4 linked regions of the Saccharomyces cerevisiae S288C genome follow. The protein of the gene in region 1 binds, or shares a complex with, the protein of each later gene. Each region holds a gene or a part of one and is shown in the gene's direction. Other genes may lie near its edges.

What was found.
Region 2: the proteins of RRP46 (region 1) and RRP40 are in contact, whole or in part, in a cryo-EM structure (PDB 5G06), measured with the Saccharomyces cerevisiae proteins. Residues at the interface, in NP_011609.2 of Saccharomyces cerevisiae: Gly8 (codon at 3,037), Leu10 (codon at 3,043), Asp11 (codon at 3,046), Val13 (codon at 3,052), Asp14 (codon at 3,055), Gly32 (codon at 3,109), Pro33 (codon at 3,112), Ile34 (codon at 3,115), Glu35 (codon at 3,118), Thr79 (codon at 3,250), His81 (codon at 3,256), Cys82 (codon at 3,259), Tyr83 (codon at 3,262), Pro84 (codon at 3,265), Arg85 (codon at 3,268), Gln86 (codon at 3,271), Val121 (codon at 3,376), Asp122 (codon at 3,379), Ala123 (codon at 3,382), Gly124 (codon at 3,385), Ala126 (codon at 3,391), Leu127 (codon at 3,394), Asn128 (codon at 3,397), Ser129 (codon at 3,400), Met130 (codon at 3,403), Phe167 (codon at 3,514), Val168 (codon at 3,517), Asn169 (codon at 3,520), Gly170 (codon at 3,523), Gly171 (codon at 3,526); in NP_014499.2 of Saccharomyces cerevisiae: Phe4 (codon at 2,552), Phe6 (codon at 2,558), Pro7 (codon at 2,561), Gly8 (codon at 2,564), Asp9 (codon at 2,567), Ser10 (codon at 2,570), Tyr26 (codon at 2,618), Arg35 (codon at 2,645), Pro36 (codon at 2,648), Val37 (codon at 2,651), Asn38 (codon at 2,654), Thr39 (codon at 2,657), Gly40 (codon at 2,660), Val41 (codon at 2,663), Asp58 (codon at 2,714), Tyr59 (codon at 2,717), Ser60 (codon at 2,720), Ser61 (codon at 2,723), Lys62 (codon at 2,726), Arg63 (codon at 2,729), Ile65 (codon at 2,735), Phe91 (codon at 2,813), Ser92 (codon at 2,816), Ser93 (codon at 2,819), Lys128 (codon at 2,924), Glu129 (codon at 2,927), Leu130 (codon at 2,930), Glu131 (codon at 2,933), Asn161 (codon at 3,023), Gln165 (codon at 3,035).
Region 3: the proteins of RRP46 (region 1) and RRP43 are in contact, whole or in part, in a crystal structure (PDB 5OKZ), measured with the Saccharomyces cerevisiae proteins. Residues at the interface, in NP_011609.2 of Saccharomyces cerevisiae: Thr61 (codon at 3,196), Arg62 (codon at 3,199), Lys64 (codon at 3,205), Val65 (codon at 3,208), Asp68 (codon at 3,217), Ala72 (codon at 3,229), Pro76 (codon at 3,241), Glu103 (codon at 3,322), Phe104 (codon at 3,325), Lys140 (codon at 3,433), Lys155 (codon at 3,478), Ile156 (codon at 3,481), Ser157 (codon at 3,484), Leu158 (codon at 3,487), Val160 (codon at 3,493), Val174 (codon at 3,535), Lys175 (codon at 3,538), Asn176 (codon at 3,541), Val177 (codon at 3,544), Leu178 (codon at 3,547), Leu179 (codon at 3,550), Leu180 (codon at 3,553), Asp181 (codon at 3,556), Ser182 (codon at 3,559), Asn183 (codon at 3,562), Gly184 (codon at 3,565), Asp185 (codon at 3,568), Phe186 (codon at 3,571), Asn187 (codon at 3,574), Glu188 (codon at 3,577); in NP_009964.2 of Saccharomyces cerevisiae: Glu121 (codon at 3,431), Asp122 (codon at 3,434), Ile123 (codon at 3,437), Ile124 (codon at 3,440), Asp146 (codon at 3,506), Met149 (codon at 3,515), Thr150 (codon at 3,518), Gln153 (codon at 3,527), Lys154 (codon at 3,530), Ser158 (codon at 3,542), Leu160 (codon at 3,548), His161 (codon at 3,551), Arg163 (codon at 3,557), Asn356 (codon at 4,136), Tyr357 (codon at 4,139), Lys358 (codon at 4,142), Gln359 (codon at 4,145), Leu360 (codon at 4,148), Thr361 (codon at 4,151), Leu362 (codon at 4,154), Gly364 (codon at 4,160), Gly365 (codon at 4,163), Gly366 (codon at 4,166), Ala367 (codon at 4,169), Lys368 (codon at 4,172), Ile369 (codon at 4,175), Pro371 (codon at 4,181), Ile374 (codon at 4,190), Lys375 (codon at 4,193), Leu378 (codon at 4,202).
Region 4: RRP46 (region 1) and RRP4 share a complex: the UniProt entries of both Saccharomyces cerevisiae proteins name them as parts of the RNA exosome complex.

What each region holds. Positions count from the first base shown.
Region 1 is NC_001139.9:674,087-679,357, reverse strand, and holds RRP46 (exosome non-catalytic core subunit RRP46), read left to right. Parts: upstream 1-3,015; coding exon 3,016-3,687; downstream 3,688-5,271. Other genes in the region: ASK10 (Ask10p), read right to left, coding at 1-663; thiamine transporter TPC1, read right to left, coding at 1,793-2,737; VAS1 (valine--tRNA ligase), read right to left, coding at 3,858-5,271. UniProt on the Saccharomyces cerevisiae protein: Non-catalytic component of the RNA exosome complex which has 3'->5' exoribonuclease activity and participates in a multitude of cellular RNA processing and degradation events.
Region 2 is NC_001147.6:53,016-56,780, forward strand, and holds RRP40 (exosome non-catalytic core subunit RRP40), read left to right. Parts: upstream 1-2,542; coding exon 2,543-3,265; downstream 3,266-3,765. Other genes in the region: NOP8 (Nop8p), read left to right, coding at 83-1,537; lumazine synthase RIB4, read right to left, coding at 1,580-2,089; tRNA methyltransferase PPM2, read left to right, coding at 3,437-3,765. UniProt on the Saccharomyces cerevisiae protein: Non-catalytic component of the RNA exosome complex which has 3'->5' exoribonuclease activity and participates in a multitude of cellular RNA processing and degradation events.
Region 3 is NC_001135.5:190,082-196,088, reverse strand, and holds RRP43 (exosome non-catalytic core subunit RRP43), read left to right. Parts: upstream 1-3,070; coding exon 3,071-4,255; downstream 4,256-6,007. Other genes in the region: PHO87 (SPX domain-containing inorganic phosphate transporter), read left to right, coding at 1-1,675; RBK1 (putative ribokinase), read right to left, coding at 1,791-2,792; fatty acid elongase ELO2, read right to left, coding at 4,454-5,497; SNT1 (Snt1p), read right to left, coding at 5,920-6,007.
Region 4 is NC_001140.6:230,662-236,480, reverse strand, and holds RRP4 (exosome non-catalytic core subunit RRP4), read left to right. Parts: upstream 1-1,822; coding exon 1,823-2,902; downstream 2,903-5,819. Other genes in the region: TRM5 (tRNA (guanine) methyltransferase), read right to left, coding at 101-1,600; DYS1 (deoxyhypusine synthase), read right to left, coding at 3,185-4,348; hydroxyacyl-thioester dehydratase HTD2, read right to left, coding at 4,669-5,511; SSF1 (rRNA-binding ribosome biosynthesis protein), read right to left, coding at 5,785-5,819. UniProt on the Saccharomyces cerevisiae protein: Non-catalytic component of the RNA exosome complex which has 3'->5' exoribonuclease activity and participates in a multitude of cellular RNA processing and degradation events.

The sequences.
Region 1 (5,271 bases):
TTTACTTTCATCTGTGGGAGCCTGCACTGCATTTTCCTGCTGTTCCTGTTGCATTTGCATCTGAAATTGTTCGCTGTCAGTCAGGCCAACTTTCTTCTGCGCAGGCTGCGCTTTCTTAGGGCCTCTAGGAGCCGTTGTGAATGGATCCGTAATGGTATTTGTGGTTTCATCAATATCAGTCAAAAATGGAAATTTCACAGATCCTTTCAGTTGGTAATTGATCCGTGCGAACTGTTCTTGCGCATACGCGACTTCCCTCAAGTAAATCACTAACCCTTTCAGAATTTTTTTCCATTTATAAAACCTGTCTACAAGGATGTCGGTGGGATACTCCTTAACAAACTGCCCATCGATAGCTTCATCACCTGCAAGGGGCTTCTTCGTTTCCGTAGTAGAGGTTGGCTGAGCCTTTGGTATAGGGACGTTTATGAAGTAGGGAGATCTCTCATCTGTTTCAGGCAAAATAAACTCCTTTGCCTGATTGTTTGCCACTATGGAGGAAACACTTTCGTTCAAGGTCATCGAATCAGGTAAGATGTCCATCAAGTACTGCGAGCTCTTCGAGTGGATGGAGGAGGCGTCATCGCCGCCACCACCGCCAGATGGCTTATTGCCCATCGGCGTGAGCGTTTGCGAAGGTCTGGAACTAAAGTAATCAGACATTAGTTTGAGCCCAGTTTTGTCCTATTTCTAATGCACTCTCGTTGTGTTTGGTAGAAGAGGTGTTAAAAAACAGAAATTTTCGGTCGTTATAGTATAGATAGTTTAGTTTGTAACTACGCTGTCTTTCCTTATTCTTGTACGCTTCGCCCTAGTTCCTGTGAAAAAAGCTTTCTGTAGTAGCGTTATTTTTAGATTTCAAGATAGGAGAAGAATGGTTATTTTCGACAATGAAGATGAAGAAGGGCAGCGCTGTTTGAAGGGAAAGGGAATGCAAGACTAGGAAATATGGATTCAGCTAGCACATTTATGAGTAAGGGGAGGTGTTATTCAGTGCAAAAACTAGTGAAAAAAAAAAATAGGAAAAAAGATAAAGAGATGACAGAAAGCTAAACGCTTACAAGAAAAATGATGGATCGTAAACACGCAATCCAACAAATCGGCGGTGATGGTGATGATGAATCATCTCCGGAGGTTTGAAACTTAGAATCTGACATTTTTTCCCGCTTATTTTTGCGATTTTTTTTTTTGGTAGGATCAGGCGAGGTTGAACATCTCCCACGTTTCTCATTTCTTGGCTATTAAGGAGCCAAGAAATGAGAAAAGGCGAAAAAAAAAAAAAAAAAAGAAAAAAAAAAGTGTAAGTATGCCACATCTAAGAAGGGTGGCTACCACAAGGGTGCAGAGATTGCAGCAGTCCTTGCTTTCTTCAATTTTACTACTTCTTGTTACTCCTAGTCCGTGTGCTTGCGCAGATGTAAGTTGTGTTGAAACAACAAGCAGATGTAGTGGTCCCTGACGCTGGTTCCATCGGAAGATCCGATTCATTGTTTCCTTCTCTCCCTTCCCCGCTGACTGAGCGGAAAAAAAGATAAAAAAAAGAAGAAAAACCGGTGCGGGGCAGCAGGCAACTAAGAAAAACCGGAAAAAGGGTTGGCGTCAGATCGCTAGCAACGAGATTCCTCTTTTTTTTTCGATTTTTTGTTATTAGAGGAAGACGGCGCGACTGAGTCAGGCCGTAATCGGAATGGAAAACCGGGCGGCTACCGATCTTTGTCAGTGAAGAATATAAGATATGATGATTTCGTATATGTATATGAGTGTGTACATGTGACAAAAAAGATTGGAAACTTTAGTACATCCGCAAATAATGGATGGCAGTTTCATACCCCCAGAAACTCACAAAAGTGGTGGGTATTGTCTTGGAAAGGGCCACCAGAATACCTCTGTAAAGCGAACTCACACCTTCTTGTTTCAAAATCTGTAAACCGATTCTTGCGAATCCGTACCCTTTATAAGAACCGTATACAGACGAATGACGGGAGAACTTTTCCAGATGCTTCGAATTCATGAACTGCATTCGCCTACGGATCGTTTCGAGGGGGAAAGTAATGATCTTAGCAATGACGCCGCCAATGGTACCAGCGCTGTGATTTAAAGTAGCCAGTTCCCATTTTTTATGCGCGGCGGTCGTTTTTTCGTTTTCGTCACAGTATATCCTGATTGTTTCGTATGTTCCGAACATTATAGATGCGGTTAGAGTTATGGTTGTCATTGACGCGATGGAGCCCTTGAAAAATCCGGGGAGACCTTCTAGTTTCCAGATATCACGCACTTCTCTCGTGATGCTCATTGAGTGCATCTGGTTGTTGGCAACTAGTCGGGTCCGTAAAACATCGAACGGGTAGGAAACGATGGAACTGGTTATGCCAGCAAAGGCTCCGACAACAAGACTATGTAAGCGCGCCTCTAGTCCAAATGGAGTTAAATATCTATTAAAAAGGGAGTATGAACTAAACTGCGCTGAGCCATAGGTAACGTACAGCAAAGAACCGGGTATGTTACCCTTCCAAAAGGACCGGATGCCTTCGTTCTTTATCATGCTTCTGGCCACCTCCATGACCTGACTTCCGAAGGGCTTCAGCCCATTTGCAGGGGTCAATTGCAATCTGATCTTAATGGTATCCATGGGAGCAGTTATGCTACGGGCAAGCAGCCCGGATACGGCGCCAGCCAACAAAGTTTTCCACGCGGCCACATTTTGCCCTTTTCTTAACGAGTCCTCCTCTTTGAACATATCAACATTTATGTACTTTGAATGGTTTATATAAAGCTCCAGACTATGCCAAGTTAAAGGTGACAAAATAGCGCCTTTTCTTCATAAAGACTATTATGTACCTCTCTTTTTCTTTTTACTACTTTTTTTTTCCTTTTAAGCGCATCGGATTGTGGAAAAAAGAGTGGAAAATTTGTTAGATGAACCAGTTAAGATGCATAAAATATCTCTGCATATATGGTAATAACAAGGAGCCCAATACCAAGAATAGATTAGATTCTGCTGAAAAAAAAAAAAAAATGAGCGTCCAAGCAGAAATAGGGATATTAGATCATGTAGATGGTTCATCTGAATTCGTATCACAAGACACCAAGGTTATTTGTTCTGTAACAGGCCCTATTGAACCAAAAGCAAGACAAGAACTGCCTACACAATTAGCATTAGAAATTATTGTACGTCCCGCGAAAGGGGTGGCCACAACAAGAGAGAAGGTACTCGAAGATAAATTACGGGCAGTTCTGACCCCACTCATCACTCGTCATTGTTACCCAAGACAGCTCTGCCAGATAACTTGTCAAATTCTGGAATCTGGTGAAGATGAAGCCGAATTCTCCCTGAGAGAGCTAAGTTGTTGTATAAATGCGGCATTTTTGGCTTTAGTTGATGCAGGAATTGCCTTAAATAGTATGTGCGCAAGCATCCCTATTGCAATAATCAAAGACACTAGTGATATCATTGTCGATCCCACTGCCGAGCAATTGAAGATTTCGCTCTCTGTCCACACTTTAGCTCTGGAGTTCGTCAATGGCGGTAAAGTCGTGAAAAACGTTTTATTGTTAGACAGCAATGGTGATTTTAATGAAGATCAATTGTTCAGTTTACTGGAGCTGGGTGAGCAAAAGTGTCAAGAACTTGTCACAAATATAAGAAGAATAATACAGGACAATATATCACCTCGTCTAGTTGTATAGCCATTATAGATTATAATATACCACAACATGCTATGTCGTATGCCGGAGACTACCTCTTATATTTGGAAATAGTTATTATTCAATGTTCTAAAATTCTTAACATTTTCGTTGTTACATATACATAGCATATATATATATATATATTACATTAATTTTTATCTACCTTCAATCTACAATTTCAAACGCTTCAAGTTTTCAATAGTAGCTTCCAAACCTTCGATTTCGGCAACAGTGTTATCCAGCTTGCTTTTATTGGCTTCCTTGGCCTGTGTATTAGCCTTTGTTTCGTAATCCTTACTGTTAATGGTTTGTTCAATACCGTTCTTGGATTTTTTAGCCTTTTCAAGTTTCTTTTGAACTTTCGCAATTTCAGCATCAATATCAACGTGTCCCTTGACGAGAAGATGTACATTGACTTCTGGGTTAACAGATTGCAATACGCAACCTTCTGGAATTTCGGAAGCATCACGAACAACAGTGACTTCGTCGATGGCCTTGATCAACGAGACAATAGAATCTTTCTGATCTTCAGCAGTTTTGAAGTATTCCTCGTGGTTAGATTCAACGAAAACCTTACCATTCTTCAAAATATTGTACTCAGATAACAAGGAACGAGCTTCTTTGGTAATGTTCAAGACCAAGTCGTAAGCATTGGCCGATTTGACATCATCGTACTCAGATACGTAAACTGGATAAGAAGCTTTTACAATTGAGGCAGCCTTCTCAGTGGAACGCTTTGGAAGTCTTTGCCACATTTCTTCAGAAATGAATGGCATGAATGGATGGATTAATTTCAAAGCGTTGTCCAGCAAGATATACAATGTATCCTTTGCGGACTTCTTTTCAATAGCAGAGCCTTCTTGAATCAAGTATTTAGAGTTCTCGATGTAAACATCACAAATCAAATACCAGAATTCGTAAATACTGCTAGTGGACGTCAAGAAGTCACGTTTATCTAGAGCTTCATTGACAATTTTCGAGGTTTCAGTCAGCTTGTGCAAGATCCATTTTTCAACCAAGGATTCGTTACCTGATAGACCTTCAGTGGCAGGTGGTTGATAATCGTCACCGAGTCTCATCAATGCAAACTTGGTAGCTTGGTAGATTTTGTTACAGAACTTTCTGTAACCTTCGACACGTAAGATATCTAAGTTAATATCACGACCACCAGTGGTATAAGCACATAATGCAAACCTCATAGCATCGGTACCACATTGAGGAATACCGTTAGGGTAGGATTCCTTTTGACCGATCTTAGCTTTTTCAACTTCTCTTGGATCTAAGTTACCTTGTAATAATTTTGCATGCAAATCATCCAACTTAATACCAGTAATAACGTCTAGTGGGTCAATAACATTACCTAAAGATTTAGACATCTTACGACCTTGAGCGTCACGGACTAAAGAGTGGCAGAAAACTTCCTTGAATGGAACTGAACCGGTCAATTTTAAGCCCAATAGAATCATTCTAGTAACCCAGAAGAAAAGAATATCCCAACCAGTTTCCAACATAGAAAAGGGGTAAAAAGTTTCCATGTCTTTAGTCTTCTCTGGCCAACCCAAAGTGGAGAAAGGCCACAAACCG
Region 2 (3,765 bases), on another chromosome or scaffold:
ATGTCAGTCAATTAACAAAGTATACAATAGGCCCATATCATTTTAGATTGTACCTGAAGTGAGAACTAGGTAATATACGACGATGGATAGTGTAATTCAAAAAAGAATTTTTGTCGGAAATATTTTCCATAATGCAGATGATTGTTATTCAGAACTACTAGATCGATTTGGAAAATTTGGTGATTGCCAAGATTTTCAGTTTGAAAAACACAACCACTTTGCATTTATCGATATAAGGTTTAATGATGAGGCAGATTTTAACAAGCTAAGAAAGAGCTTTAATAATGTTAAGTTTAAAGGGAACATTTTGAAGGTTGATGAAGCAAAGCCGAATTGGGAAAGCACCTGGGCGGTACAACATGCAAAGGACCTTAAAGAAGATATTATACTAAATGCTAAAATGAAAAAAAAGAATTGGCAACATTATAAGAAAATGGAAAATGTAGCGAAAAGTTGGAAAGATCATAAGGAAGTTATTGCTGGCAGAATGAGGGAGGCGCCGAGAAAAAGGAGTCAATTGAGGAACATTACATTCAGGATCAATGTCAATGGTTCATTGAAAGTTTACAAATGCTATAAGACTAAATTATGGGGTTATGAAAGGAACAAAGAATTGAATGACCTTGTGTACAAGTTTACAAATAATTTCTGGAAAAACGGATACAACCACATTGTCGATAGATTGGATTACAGTCGTGCTGTTAAAACTGTTCGATTCAAAAATGGGCTGAAACAGTTAACAGTGTCAAAAGATGAAAACGTTTGCAGTGGAGAGATGGACAGCGATGAGAATATGTCAGAAGAGGAGAAGGAGAAAAATAATGTTATTCTTAATGACCTATTAAAGGACTTTGACTTCGATAAGCCAATGACGTTGAATGATTCGGACGAGGAACTTCTGACAGAGCAACGTAAAGGAGAGGAAGAAGAAGAAGAAGAAGAAGAAAAAGAAGTAAACGCTCCCGAATACGAGAATGTTAATAAGACGAAGGACCAGAGCACCCTACCACAAGAAAAACCAGAGGAAAGGAAAGAACAGGACGAGGGCGACGGGCAGGAGGATAATGAATTTATTCCGACTTTCACCAAGGAAATTGGTCAAGGTACAATAAGCAACACTGAGACGTTAAGAAACCTATTCAACCCCAACGAGGCAGAACCTGTATCACAATTCAAATTGATTGAAGATTCTGATAATGATATTGATCATGCGAAAGATGTTGATGTGAACCAACTGGAGGAAGAAGTAAGTAAATCATCTGACACCCTAGGTTTGACATCGGCTCCCGTACCACATGTATCTAGAGATAAAGATAACAAAAATTTCTTGTTTTTCCCTCATTTGCAATCGCCATTTTTAGTAGGACAAACACAGTTGAGTAAAGTAAGGGCTCCTGGAAGAGAAACAATGCTATCGAACTGGGATGAGGAGTTCTGGGCTAACAGAGGTAATTGGACCCGTGATATGAGGCGCAAAATGAAAGATGCATTGAAGCACCGTAAGAGGAAACAATCAAAGAGCGGGCTTCTTCTATAGTGAGTATATATACATATATAGTATAGATTTCTCTGCGCTTATTCAAAAAGCATTTTTACCGAACTTAACAGCCATTTCCACTGCTGCAGCACCCCAATCTTCACCATGGTTGTGCATGGAGTGCGCTTCATCGATGCCAGCTCTGGCCAGGGCTTGTTCTTCAGTCATGCAAGTTAAGAGGCCAAAAATGACGGGCATGTCGACTTTTTCTTGTAAGTTCATCAATGCGTGAGTGGTGGAATCTGAAATGTATTCAAAGTGCATTGTACTACCTTTGATAAGTACACCAATAGGAATTACAACATCTAGCGGCTTTCCCAACTTCGCTTGTCTGTCAACAAACCTTTTTGTCCCCCAAGGTAATTCATAGGATCCAGGAACAGTTTCAATTATTATGTTATTTTCCTCGACACCAAGGGAAGCCATTCTTTCAATAGCACCTTTCACAAGAGCGTCAATAATGACACGGTTCCAACGGGCATGAATGATACCGACCCTGATTTTGGAACCGTCATAAACTTGATCTGGTTTGCCTAATCCTTTAACTGCCATACTGCGTTATACTGCGTTATACTGCGTTATACTGCGTTATACTGTTCCTTTTCATGCTTTTGAACCCACTCTCTGGGGCAATATTTCATTGTTCTCTTTTATATGGCTACTTTTCTCTTATTAACGGGGACCTCCGAAAATATCTCCGCTCCCAGAATATGTCATAGAGCCTTAAGAATTGACCTACGGGAACCTCCGAAAACCTCCCAGAGTTTTAATTATACGTCATAGAACCCCAGACCTCTTCGATGAAGTTTCGTGGAAACTAGTTCCATCCACCTCACTTAAAGTTACCTTAATGAAAGCCATCATTGTTTACTAGTAAGGGTAGTGGTGTGACCCGGACCTGATCGGCTGAAATTTTTTGGTTTAGAGAAGCATATTAAACCAACAGCACAAACGGATGCTTCAGCAGCTCATCTCCAGCATTTCGACTAACCAAGAGCATACAAGATGTCTACGTTCATATTCCCTGGTGATAGCTTTCCTGTAGACCCTACTACACCTGTTAAACTGGGCCCTGGCATATATTGTGACCCCAATACTCAAGAAATACGACCTGTTAATACAGGTGTTTTGCATGTTTCCGCTAAGGGTAAGAGTGGTGTTCAGACCGCATATATAGACTATTCTAGTAAGAGATACATTCCATCTGTAAACGATTTTGTAATCGGTGTCATTATAGGGACATTTTCAGATAGCTATAAGGTTTCGTTGCAAAATTTCTCCTCCAGTGTTTCACTATCGTATATGGCTTTTCCCAATGCTTCAAAGAAAAACAGGCCAACTTTGCAAGTGGGAGATCTAGTGTATGCGAGAGTTTGTACCGCAGAAAAGGAACTAGAAGCCGAAATAGAATGTTTTGACTCAACTACAGGACGCGATGCTGGTTTCGGGATATTGGAAGATGGTATGATCATTGACGTGAATTTGAATTTCGCACGCCAGTTGCTTTTCAATAATGACTTCCCGTTATTAAAAGTGTTGGCTGCACATACCAAGTTTGAAGTCGCCATTGGTCTCAATGGGAAGATCTGGGTTAAGTGCGAGGAATTATCTAACACTTTAGCTTGTTATAGAACCATAATGGAGTGTTGTCAAAAAAACGACACGGCAGCGTTCAAGGATATAGCAAAAAGACAGTTTAAAGAAATACTTACGGTCAAGGAGGAGTAGACTACCATGTATAATTAAAATATATAAACACATAGATATCATCAATATTTCACGTCCTTTTTTAATGTCCTTTGAAAAAGCGAAGGAAAAAAAGTTTCATCTCATCTCATCTCATCACATCTAACATATGGCCATAAAATTTCGACAACTATAGTGCACATATCTAATACGATGAAGAATCTGACCACTATAAAGCAAACGAACAAGAATGTCAAACAAGAAAGACGTAAAAAGTACGCTGATTTGGCGATTCAAGGCACAAATAACTCCTCAATTGCTTCTAAAAGATCGGTAGAGTTATTGTATTTGCCAAAACTGAGTTCGGCTAATAATTTCCAAATGGATAAGAATAATAAACTGTTGGAATATTTTAAATTCTTTGTTCCTAAGAAAATTAAAAGATCTCCCTGTATTAACAGAGGTTATTGGTTGAGGTTATTTGCCATCAGGTCAAGATTGAACTCCATCATTGAACAAACGCCACAGGATAAAAAGATAGT
Region 3 (6,007 bases), on another chromosome or scaffold:
TCTCATGGGTCAGCCTGGGAACGTAGATTCATGCAAGCAAGAGTTAAAGTCGTACCTGCACGACCACATTGTTTGGGAAAGAAGCAACACATGGAAAGACATGTTGGGCCTCTCTTCGCAAAATAACGATATAATAACTATTGAAGATGAAGCTGAGAAACTTATGCAAGAAAAGCTTCAAATTGAATATTTCAAGTATCCATTGCCTAAGCCAATTAATTTGAAGTTTACTAAAATTGAAAATTTGGCAGTTCCTAAGCTATTTTTTGGGAAAAGAGCAATGAAAATAGGCTTCATTATCATTGTCACAGGTGTTTTGTTGGGTGTTAAAACTTTCAATGACCCTGTCGAACACCGGTGTATGGCATTGGTAGAATGCTGTGCTTTCTTATGGGCTAGTGAAGCCATTCCATTACACATCACAGGTTTATTGGTTCCCCTTCTAACTGTCCTTTTTAGGGTACTAAAAGACGATGACGGTAAGGTAATGGGAGCAGCAGCTGCCTCTACAGAAATCTTAGGTACAATGTGGTCGTCAACAATTATGATTTTATTAGCAGGTTTCACATTGGGTGAAGCCTTGTCGCAATATAACGTTGCGAAAGTTTTGGCATCGTGGTTATTGGCCCTTGCAGGTACCAAGCCAAGAAATGTCCTTTTAATGGCAATGAGTGTTGTATTCTTTCTTTCGATGTGGATTTCCAACGTTGCCTCCCCAGTATTGACATATTCTCTATTAACACCCTTACTAGATCCGCTGGACTACACTTCACCGTTTGCTAAGGCATTAGTCATGGGTGTTGCACTTTCGGCAGATATTGGTGGTATGGCTTCACCTATTTCTTCGCCACAGAATATCATCTCCATGCAGTACTTAAAACCTTATGGAATCGGCTGGGGGCAATTTTTTGCTGTCGCTCTGCCTACAGGTATTCTATCGATGCTGTGCTCCTGGGCCTTGATGATACTCACCTTTAAAATAGGCAAAACTAAACTGGAAAAATTTAAACCAATAAGGACCAGATTTACTATAAAGCAATATTTTATCATCATTGTAACTATTGCTACTATTCTTCTATGGTGTGTAGAGTCACAAATAGAAAGTGCTTTTGGATCGTCCGGTGAAATTGCAGTAATACCGATAGTCCTGTTTTTTGGTACAGGTCTACTATCAACAAAGGATTTCAACACATTCCCTTGGTCAATTGTTGTTCTTGCTATGGGTGGTATAGCCCTTGGTAAGGCAGTTTCATCTTCAGGCTTGTTGGTAACTATTGCAAGAGCATTACAAAAGAAAATTCAGAACGATGGTGTTTTTGCTATCTTATGTATTTTCGGTATTTTAATGTTAGTTGTGGGCACTTTTGTCTCACATACTGTGTCAGCAATCATCATTATTCCCTTGGTGCAAGAAGTTGGTGACAAATTATCCGATCCAAAGGCAGCTCCAATTCTTGTGTTCGGTTGCGCCTTGTTAGCCTCATGCGGTATGGGGTTGGCTTCATCTGGATTTCCAAACGTTACTGCTATTTCTATGACCGATAAAAAGGGTAATAGATGGCTAACTGTAGGCGCTTTTATCTCCAGAGGTGTTCCTGCTTCGTTGTTAGCGTTTGTCTGCGTAATTACTCTCGGTTATGGTATTAGTTCTTCCGTCTTAAAAGGTAGCACTTAAACTGCCCTCATGTAATTACATTTCTTATTACTGCATTCTTTGTACCTTTTTAAACTTTATATATATGACGAAAACTAAAATTTAACAAACTAAAAGTAAAAAATTGCAGTAGATTTTATGCATCTTTCTGAACATCTTTATACAGTGGCATGCTTTCAGCAGCACCTTTTCTTTGAATGGTCAATGAACTAGCTAATGTAGAGAACTTTATAGCCGTAGACAAGGTCTCTCCTTGATACAATTGAGTAACCAAACCGCCCAGGAAAGTATCTCCAGCTCCTGTAGTATCAACAACCGAAACATTTTGAATAGCCGGAAGGAATTGTACTTCAGGGCTTTCGTGCGAACAGAAAAGCACCCCTCTCGAACCCAAAGTCATAACCACAATTCCTCTTTTCTTTCGATTCATGAGTTTTTCATACAAAAGCTCACAAATTTTACGATATTCTCCTAAAAAGTCGTCCTTTATCTTCTCCCTTATTTCTTCAACAAGTTCATTATCAAATACACTTTCCACGATTTGAAGACCCTCAATTTCATTAACGACCAAAAGGTCTACCAACTCCCAATCTTTCTTAGGCATGGCCTTGAAAGGTGAGGGGTTATATACGATCTGAAAATTCGGCCTGTTCGCATGTATCCATTTAATAATGGAAAGAGGATCAGGAATTTCGTGTTGAAAAACAACATACTCTTCTTCCTCCTTGCCCTCTGGAAAAATTTCACACAACTGTTTCGGGTCATAAATAGTCTTGCTGTTAGCACCTTCTACAATCAATATCCTATTTTGGCCACCAGCTTTCTCTTCAATTAGTATGGTAGCGGTACCCGTATTAATGCCTTCGTAAGTACCGACGTGAGTGATATCGACTCCGCAATCGGATAAAGTGTCCTTCAATTGTTTACCAAATGTATCATTTCCAACATTACCAATCATTCGAACACTATATCTGCTGCTGGGGTTTTTTAATTTACCAATGGCCGCAGCTTGGTTCAATCCCTTACCACCAGCATGTGTTTCGAAGTGGTTAGCCCTGAAAGTTTCTCCAGCGTTAGGTAATCTATCCGTAAATGTGTCCAAATCATAGTTTAGAGAACCTATTACTGTAATACCCATCTTTGAAATATGCTGTTGGAACTTTGGGATGAAAGACAACAAACATCTTATTGGCTATTTTTATCCTATTTGCTTCATGATTGTTCTGGCCACCTTCGGATATAAACCCTTTTATTCCCGTTTGATCTGGAGAGATTTTCAAATCACAGTCGACGAAAGTATAAGATTTTTCTTTCTTTTTTTATGACAGAGTATATAACAATAATGGACAAATTAGACGATGAGTATTGTTACACAAATAAGTTTGACAGTAGTTTCACAGGCATCTAATATTGGAAATGGCTGAAAGTACCACGTTAGAAACTATTGAGATACACCCAATTACTTTTCCACCTGAAGTTCTTGCGAGAATATCTCCAGAATTGTCTTTACAAAGACACTTATCCCTAGGAATCAGGCCATGTCTAAGAAAATATGAAGAATTTAGAGATGTTGCTATAGAAAATAATACTTTATCGCGTTATGCGGATGCTGGTAATATAGACACTAAAAACAACATTTTAGGCTCAAATGTTTTGAAAAGTGGGAAAACCATAGTCATAACTTCTATTACGGGTGGAATAATAGAAGAAACTAGCGCCGCGATTAAAGATTTGGATGATTTCGGTGAGGAAGAATTGTTCGAAGTGACCAAAGAGGAGGACATAATTGCAAATTATGCTTCTGTCTATCCGGTGGTGGAAGTTGAAAGAGGTAGAGTGGGCGCTTGCACCGATGAAGAAATGACTATATCACAAAAACTACACGATTCCATATTGCACTCTAGGATATTGCCTAAAAAAGCCTTGAAGGTAAAAGCTGGTGTTCGTAGTGCGAATGAAGACGGTACGTTTTCCGTCTTGTATCCCGATGAATTAGAAGATGATACGCTGAATGAAACAAACCTGAAAATGAAAAGAAAATGGTCATACGTTTTGTATGCGAAAATTGTAGTCTTGAGTCGCACTGGTCCAGTCTTCGATTTGTGTTGGAATTCTTTGATGTACGCTTTACAGAGCGTAAAGTTACCTAGAGCATTTATAGATGAGCGTGCGTCCGATTTAAGAATGACTATAAGAACAAGAGGAAGAAGTGCCACCATAAGAGAAACGTATGAAATTATTTGCGACCAAACTAAGTCAGTACCGTTAATGATAAACGCAAAGAATATTGCATTTGCTTCAAATTATGGGATAGTGGAGTTAGACCCCGAATGCCAATTACAAAACTCTGATAACTCTGAAGAAGAGGAAGTGGACATTGATATGGATAAATTGAACACTGTGCTAATAGCAGACCTAGATACTGAAGCGGAAGAAACAAGTATACACAGTACGATCTCCATCCTCGCTGCTCCTTCAGGTAACTATAAGCAATTAACATTAGTGGGAGGAGGCGCTAAAATAACGCCAGAAATGATAAAAAGATCATTGTTGTTATCTAGGGTTAGAGCGGACGATTTGTCAACAAGATTTAACATATAAAAGACTCGGATAAAATTATCTGATGACTGTCGAAAGGAAACGGAAAACTTTTTTCAACGATAACATGTGTATGTAATATATAACAAAACCATCCGGTCTTTTACAATATAATAATAGTGATAATAGTAACAATAGATCCACTAAGAAAAAACGAATATACGAAAGTTGAATACTTAAATTCTTTCAAAGATTTTACACTTACCTTTTTCTTCTGTGTTGAGGTTTTGGTGATGGAGATGGAGTAGGAACGTTTTTCAAGTCAACGTTAACATACTCATTAACCTTTGCGGCAACACCGCCGTGGGCACGCTTTACCACTCTACTGGTTTTGGTGCCTTTACGTTTATAAACGTTAATGTAAAATGAAATAAATAGTACCAAATATGAAGAAATAATGGCACAACCTGCAAAGGTGGCAGTTGTTGAACCCACACAGTCACCACAATGTGGCAAAATTGGGAAATACAAGTGAACTGCTTTTTGGTAGACAGCAAAATATATGAAACCGATATCCAAAACAAATTGGATAATTTGAAATCTGGTAACCCATTCCTTCCACCAGACCCTGATGCCTCTGGCAGCCAAGAAATAGTACCAATACATAACCACGTGAACACCAAGGTTCAATGAAATAGGGACCCAAGAAATAGATGTGGTGCCCATCAATTGGGTGTAACATAATAAGGCAGTAGCGCCATGGTGATAAGTATGCAAAAATGTCAATTTTTTATGTTTTAGCACCAAGAAAAAGGTGTCTATAAATTCAATAAACTTGACAATGTAATTCATGTAATATAATGTAACGAGCGGTTGAGTCCAAGCACCAATATTACAGATAGCGAAGTATAACCCGTGCTGAACAATAATTGGCACTAATTGTTCAACCATAAGCAATAAAAGCGTCAATGAAAGTGAAGTTAAAACCAAATTATGCAATTGGAAAAGGCCATTTAATTTAAATGGTTTCGACTTACTTAACAAAAACCTGCCACCAAAAATAATAACGTAATAGGCAGTGATGGCGTATAGCACAGGGGGCAAAGTGCTTAATGGTAATTCACCTGCAATGAATTGGAATTCGCTTGGAACAAATCTACCGTTAGTTACACGAGTGACGACATCATCGAAATGTTCCCACAACGAAATATTAAAAAATGGTCGCTCCAAAGTTGGTAAATAGTCATGAAGTTGGGGATAACGCTCGAACAACGGAGCAGCATATTGAGTAACGAGTGAATTCATGGCTTCTAGACGAAGATAATTAGTTCAACCTTTTCACTTTGTACAAAATTGCTTGTGGATAATAGTGAAATGAAAAATATTTTCCAATTTTTCATTGACTTTTTCGCGATGTTTATTTCTCTGTGGGTTTTGCGATTTTCAGCAATGGCCGCACGCCAGGACATGTGAATACGTACAAAAATAAAATGTGACATATTTACACGACACTTAAATAAAGTCGTTTAAAATCGGAAAAAACTGTATAATGCAGAAAAAATACGAAATTACAATTATAATTAAAAACTCCTCCCTTTATATATATACATATATATATATATAATATAGTACACTAACACACGTAAGGTAATGTATGCTCGAGAGTTTCACCAACCATTGGATGGAAAAGAAGTAGAGCATATGTATTGCCCGTCTCAGCCGTTTGTTCAATTATTATTTTCCTTTTTAGATAAAAAACTGCTCATTGCATCTGGCGCGGAGGCAACCGCAGCCAAAGCTGCCAACGGATCATTC
Region 4 (5,819 bases), on another chromosome or scaffold:
CGCCTTCTCGAAGATAAAGGTGTTAGTCATCTCGTTTCTTTTTCTAATGGTCGCCTTTTTGCCTTTTTCCTCCCACGGCAAACTGCAAGAGCAGATCGCTTCATACGTTAGCTGGAAGTTGGAAACTCGCGCAATACATCGGTTTGGTGGGTGCAACTTTGCGCACCAAATGCAACGAAACGGCATTCAACGGAAGATCGTCTGCAGTGACCTTGAGCGCGGCAATAATACGGGCATGAACGCGTGCATGCAACTCGTCCTCAGTGACTTGGTCGCCAGGCGGGTACTTCTCAAAACAGTGCACGTGCACCCATGGCATTTGGATGGTATCAGTGGCGCCTTTAGTGTGTGCTGCAAAGATGCCACGGAAGTTTCCTAAGAAAGAAATGGCGCTGTCTGGTAGATTCATGACATAGTGGCTAATATGTGACGGAATGATCAGCTCTTTGGTGCGTGGTTGTGGCGGTTGTTGGTCATTGTGTTGCTGGGATCTGTGTCGTTTCTTCAAAGGCAGAGGGATCGTGATCTTGCCGCCCTCTTCATCTTGAATCCACTGTTGTAATAACTGTGGCGACTGGCGGATGAAGTCAGCGCCATCCATGTTGAAGGATTTGACGGTCTTGGCCACTTTGTTCAATGCGATGTTCTCCTTCAAGTATTTGTAACTCTCAGGATTCAAGTCGTTAGCCAAAACGATGACATCCTTCTTGCCCGCAGGTACAGCAAAGGGCCCCACGCCGGCGAAAACATCACAGACTACTTGGCCAGGCTGGAAGTACTGTTTGACGAGTCTTTCATGCTCTGTGTGCAATCGGGAGTTCCAGTACACCTTGCTAAAGTCGAATTTGAAAGTGCAGTTGGATTCCTTCTGCTCTACCACTAGACTATCGCTTTTCCCAGCAATGACTTTCATAGGAAAAGTCCTGAACTGTGTGGCAATGGAGCTGACTTTGTCCACGACACATTCGATTTTGTTGTTCTTGTCAAGGATGACTTGTCCGATGAGCGAGTCGAATGGTTTGAACTCGGTGCGCAAGTTCAAGTGGGCAATGTGGCCTGTGATTGTAAAACCCGTTGGAACCTCTTCCAGGAATTGCTCGGGCAGCACGGCTCGAAGAATCTCCTCAGCTTTCCAGAAATCATAATCGAGCACGTATTCGTGTGGTACAATTTCCGCACTGTTTTCCTTAAGAAACGCCAAGGCGTCCTCAGGCAATTTTCCATACGCATCCTCCACGCTGTGGATGGATTCGTGTAGCAGCACACCTTTCGTGACTGGGGTATTATTGCCATCTGCAGTCTTTAGTTTCTTGTTCTGTACACTTGTCAGTTCGTCCTTTGGCTTGGATGAGTTTAACTTAACAACGTGCGGGATACGGGGCACCCTCAAGATGCAATTTTTGAAGTTTTTAGAAAACACACTGATATTTTTGGGTTCGGGGAACTTGACTGCACACATTGGTATCTTGGTGATGAAAAATGACCTATCCAATTCTCGCATTTGGCGATTCACGGGTGGGTTGTATGGGAACACTCCTGACATCTTGCACGAACTGATCAATCTATTAAATTTTTGGAATACTGGCAGTGCGATTTTCATGCAATGAAAAATATCCTTACCTTTACTTATGGTTTAAACTGGTTTGTTCAAATATCCTCAGTGAATCTTTTTTTTTCTTTTTCTTCCTCAGTATGGATTGAGCGATGAGGTGAAAAAAAAAAAAAAATTAAGAAAACTAAAACAAAAGTAGAAGAAAAATATCCTTCCTTAAGTACTGCTTGCATTCTAAATCTTTGCGTAGTCACACAAGCGTAAACAGATATGTCCGAAGTTATCACAATTACCAAGCGGAACGGTGCCTTCCAAAATTCATCTAACCTGTCCTATAACAACACAGGGATATCAGATGATGAAAATGATGAAGAAGATATCTACATGCACGATGTTAACTCAGCTTCTAAAAGTGAGTCTGATTCTCAAATTGTGACGCCAGGTGAGCTGGTCACTGATGACCCTATCTGGATGAGAGGTCACGGTACGTATTTTCTTGATAATATGACGTATTCCTCTGTTGCTGGTACTGTATCCCGTGTCAATAGGCTGCTATCGGTAATTCCATTGAAAGGTCGTTATGCCCCAGAAACTGGTGATCACGTCGTAGGGAGAATTGCTGAAGTGGGTAACAAGAGATGGAAAGTAGACATTGGCGGTAAGCAACATGCAGTACTTATGTTGGGCTCTGTGAATTTACCGGGTGGTATTCTAAGAAGAAAATCTGAAAGTGATGAACTACAAATGAGAAGCTTCCTTAAGGAAGGTGACCTCCTGAATGCAGAAGTTCAATCATTATTTCAAGATGGTAGTGCCTCTTTACATACAAGGTCTCTAAAGTACGGGAAGTTAAGAAACGGGATGTTTTGCCAAGTCCCGAGTTCATTAATAGTGAGAGCCAAGAACCATACTCATAATTTGCCCGGCAACATAACCGTAGTTCTCGGAGTCAATGGTTACATATGGTTAAGGAAAACATCTCAGATGGACTTAGCGAGGGATACGCCGTCTGCAAATAACAGTTCCTCAATTAAATCAACTGGACCCACTGGTGCGGTATCATTAAATCCCTCCATAACAAGACTGGAAGAAGAGTCTTCATGGCAAATATATTCGGATGAAAACGATCCTTCCATATCGAACAACATACGACAAGCAATTTGCCGGTATGCGAACGTGATCAAAGCGTTAGCGTTCTGTGAAATAGGCATTACTCAACAACGTATAGTAAGTGCTTACGAAGCTAGTATGGTTTATTCAAACGTAGGTGAACTGATTGAGAAAAATGTAATGGAATCCATAGGCAGTGACATTCTTACCGCCGAAAAAATGAGAGGTAACGGCAACTAATAGGAATACAAAAGCCGCTGTTTACACATTTATAAACTACACAGCAGACTCCAACGCAATTTATGTGTATAAACTTACATAATGTCATGGCTATGTACACACGATTAGTACGTATAGAAATGCAATTGACTCATCTTTATTGCAGACATTACATCATATTTTGTTGATATTATAGTAATATGTTCATTTTTTTATTTATCTCTATATTAAAACAAAACTTTTGCACTAAAAAAAGAAATAGTACAGATTCATTTTTTTTTTTTTCATCTCAAAATTCTCTCATCAATTCTTAACTTTTTTGATTGGTTTACCACTGGCAAAGGTAGCAGCAACAATCAATGGAAGAACAGTGGTGACATCAGCAAAAAGTTTGACGGATTTGGCTTCAGCCTTGATCTTACCCCAAGACACAGCTTCGTCAGGTCTTGCACCTGCATCAGAACCATCGTATTCTTGACCAGTGTTAATGTAAACGGCATAATCAGCACCATTTCTCATCAAACAAGCATTGGCAATGTGGTGCTTGATCAAACCACCACCCAAGATGATCATACCGGCTCTGTAAGCGGCCATGGACATTGAATTGATTTTGCGGATATCTCCTACAATGTCAACTCTTAGTTGTTTTGGAGATGCTTTAAAAGTATGGAAAAACAACATGTCACCGATTGAACCATCAGTCAAAGATGGACAAAAGATTGGAATTTTATTCTTGTGGGCCCAGTACAATACGGAGGATTCGTCGTTGATTTCCTTACCAAAACGATCTATCATCTTAGATGGGGTCCAGATTGGTGAATCCACGTCTTGGTTAGCCTCTAAACAGTCAGCGCCATGTTTCTTTACGTATTCATCTTGTTCTTCCAACATCTTATCCAAAATTGGGACAATCCATTCTTCAAACTTACAGTAGTTATCATTTGGAACAAGCAAGTTACCAATACGATTCATACCTTGGTCACGCAAAGATTTACCTTTCAAAGCAAATTCACCCAAGTAAGTTGGAGCAAGACATTTGATCAAATCTTCTTCCACACCACCAGCAGAAGTAACGACAGCATCAACCATTTTGTGTTGCACCAAATAACGTAAAGTTTCACGTACACCGGAACTGATCAAGTTAGAAGTATAACCCATGAAGATAGTAGTCTTTTGGTACCCTTCCTCATCGAAGCAACCTTTCTTTTCATGGTCATCCAATTCGTCAATATGCTTACCTCTCCATGATCTCATACTATCAATAATCTCACAGGCAGTACCAACAGAACTAGCTTGGAAACCCATGGTCTTCATAGCTTCAATTAAATCAGTTGCTCTCATATTAGTGGCTTCAGGCTTTGAGTAATCAATACCTTGAACCTTAACGAAGTCATCTGGAATAGGAACAGATGCTTTCAAGACAGCGTCTTGTAGTAACTCTGGGAGTTTTTCGTTGATATCGGACATCTTTTTTGCTTTGACTTGTATATAAGTTAACTAAGCAAAACACGACTTTACTCTGCAGTTAGATACAAAACTGATAGAGGGAAGTACTTTGCGTCAAAATGGAAATATACATTACATTTAATTTTTCACTTTACTTTTTATTTTTTTTTCCCACCTTTTTTTCAGTTCTTCCCGTAATGCGTTTACCGTCAACCTGGTGATGGCGAGATATTATGGTAATCTCGTTCGTGACCTTCCACTGTTCAGCAGCTACTAGTATTATTTCAAGAGACAAGAAACACACAGGTAGTGATTATCTGCAGAGAGACAATTACTGGTAGTCAACAGAAAACATCAGCTTTCATGTAGACTAAGTTGGCTTTCTGGAGGTCCCTAATTTGAAATGTGTACATTCCGCTCGAAGAGCTTAAAGACTGACATATGCTCAAAGTAGTGTTTGGATATATATAATTCAAATTGCGGTATCGCAACTGTCTGATTGGTTGTTCGAGAAAAGGTTGGATGCATTTCTGTAGTAATTGGACCGAGAAGGGTCCTTGCATGATAATATCGTCGTAGCCTTCAACATAGCGACTGTACTCTTTGTCCCAATGAATTCGGTGCGGATTCAAAGACATCTGACCATAAGCTACAATATCCATATCAGTAACAGTAAAATTTTTTAAGATCTTATAGTTCTCCTCTCCTACGGGCATCTTGACTGCAGTCTTGTTTGCGGGTGAATTGGTGTACATTAATACCCTTCTCTCGAATAAGCAAATGTCCATTGGACTCGACACATTTTCGGGCCTTTCTTGTAAAAGGGTTCTTTCAATACAGACAACATGTTCATCTCGTATTTTTTTTACGTATTTGATTGATTCGTGGCATGTATACTCCTGGTCTAAGGTGACTGGTAAATACTGAACAAGCTCTCCTTGTCCCCAAATCCTTCTACGGTAGCGTAAATCAGGGTTTCCTAGCAAACTTGCAGGATTTTGATAGTTAAAATAACCATCTCTATCCAATTTTTCGAATGATGGTGGGAAGAACAGGAAATGTTCTCCCAGTTGAAGATGCTTCGTTGCCTTTGATACAGGGAGTCTCCTACAAAGTAAACTATCAAACGCTTTGGTTCGGTGACTAGATAAGACATCCCTGAAAATCCACGTTTTGGATTTCATGCTGATAAGCTGTCTTTAGATAAGTGGACGATTGCCCACCTTCAATGTACCAGCCACGCTCATGTATCGAAACAGTAGCTTAAAATGGCGTAAAAAAGGTAAGATCGAATTTTTTTTCACATGCCTTCTGAGATCTACGTTTCCTTTGGGCTATGATTTAAAAGACAAAGAGTTTATATGTATCAAGTATGCAATTTATCTAAAGTGAAGAAGTATACGTGCGTTGGTGGATAGCCAGGCTTAACTAAAATTTTCTTGGTACCGGAGAACAATTTATTCGACCTCACTAAATAAGTCACTATCTAGAT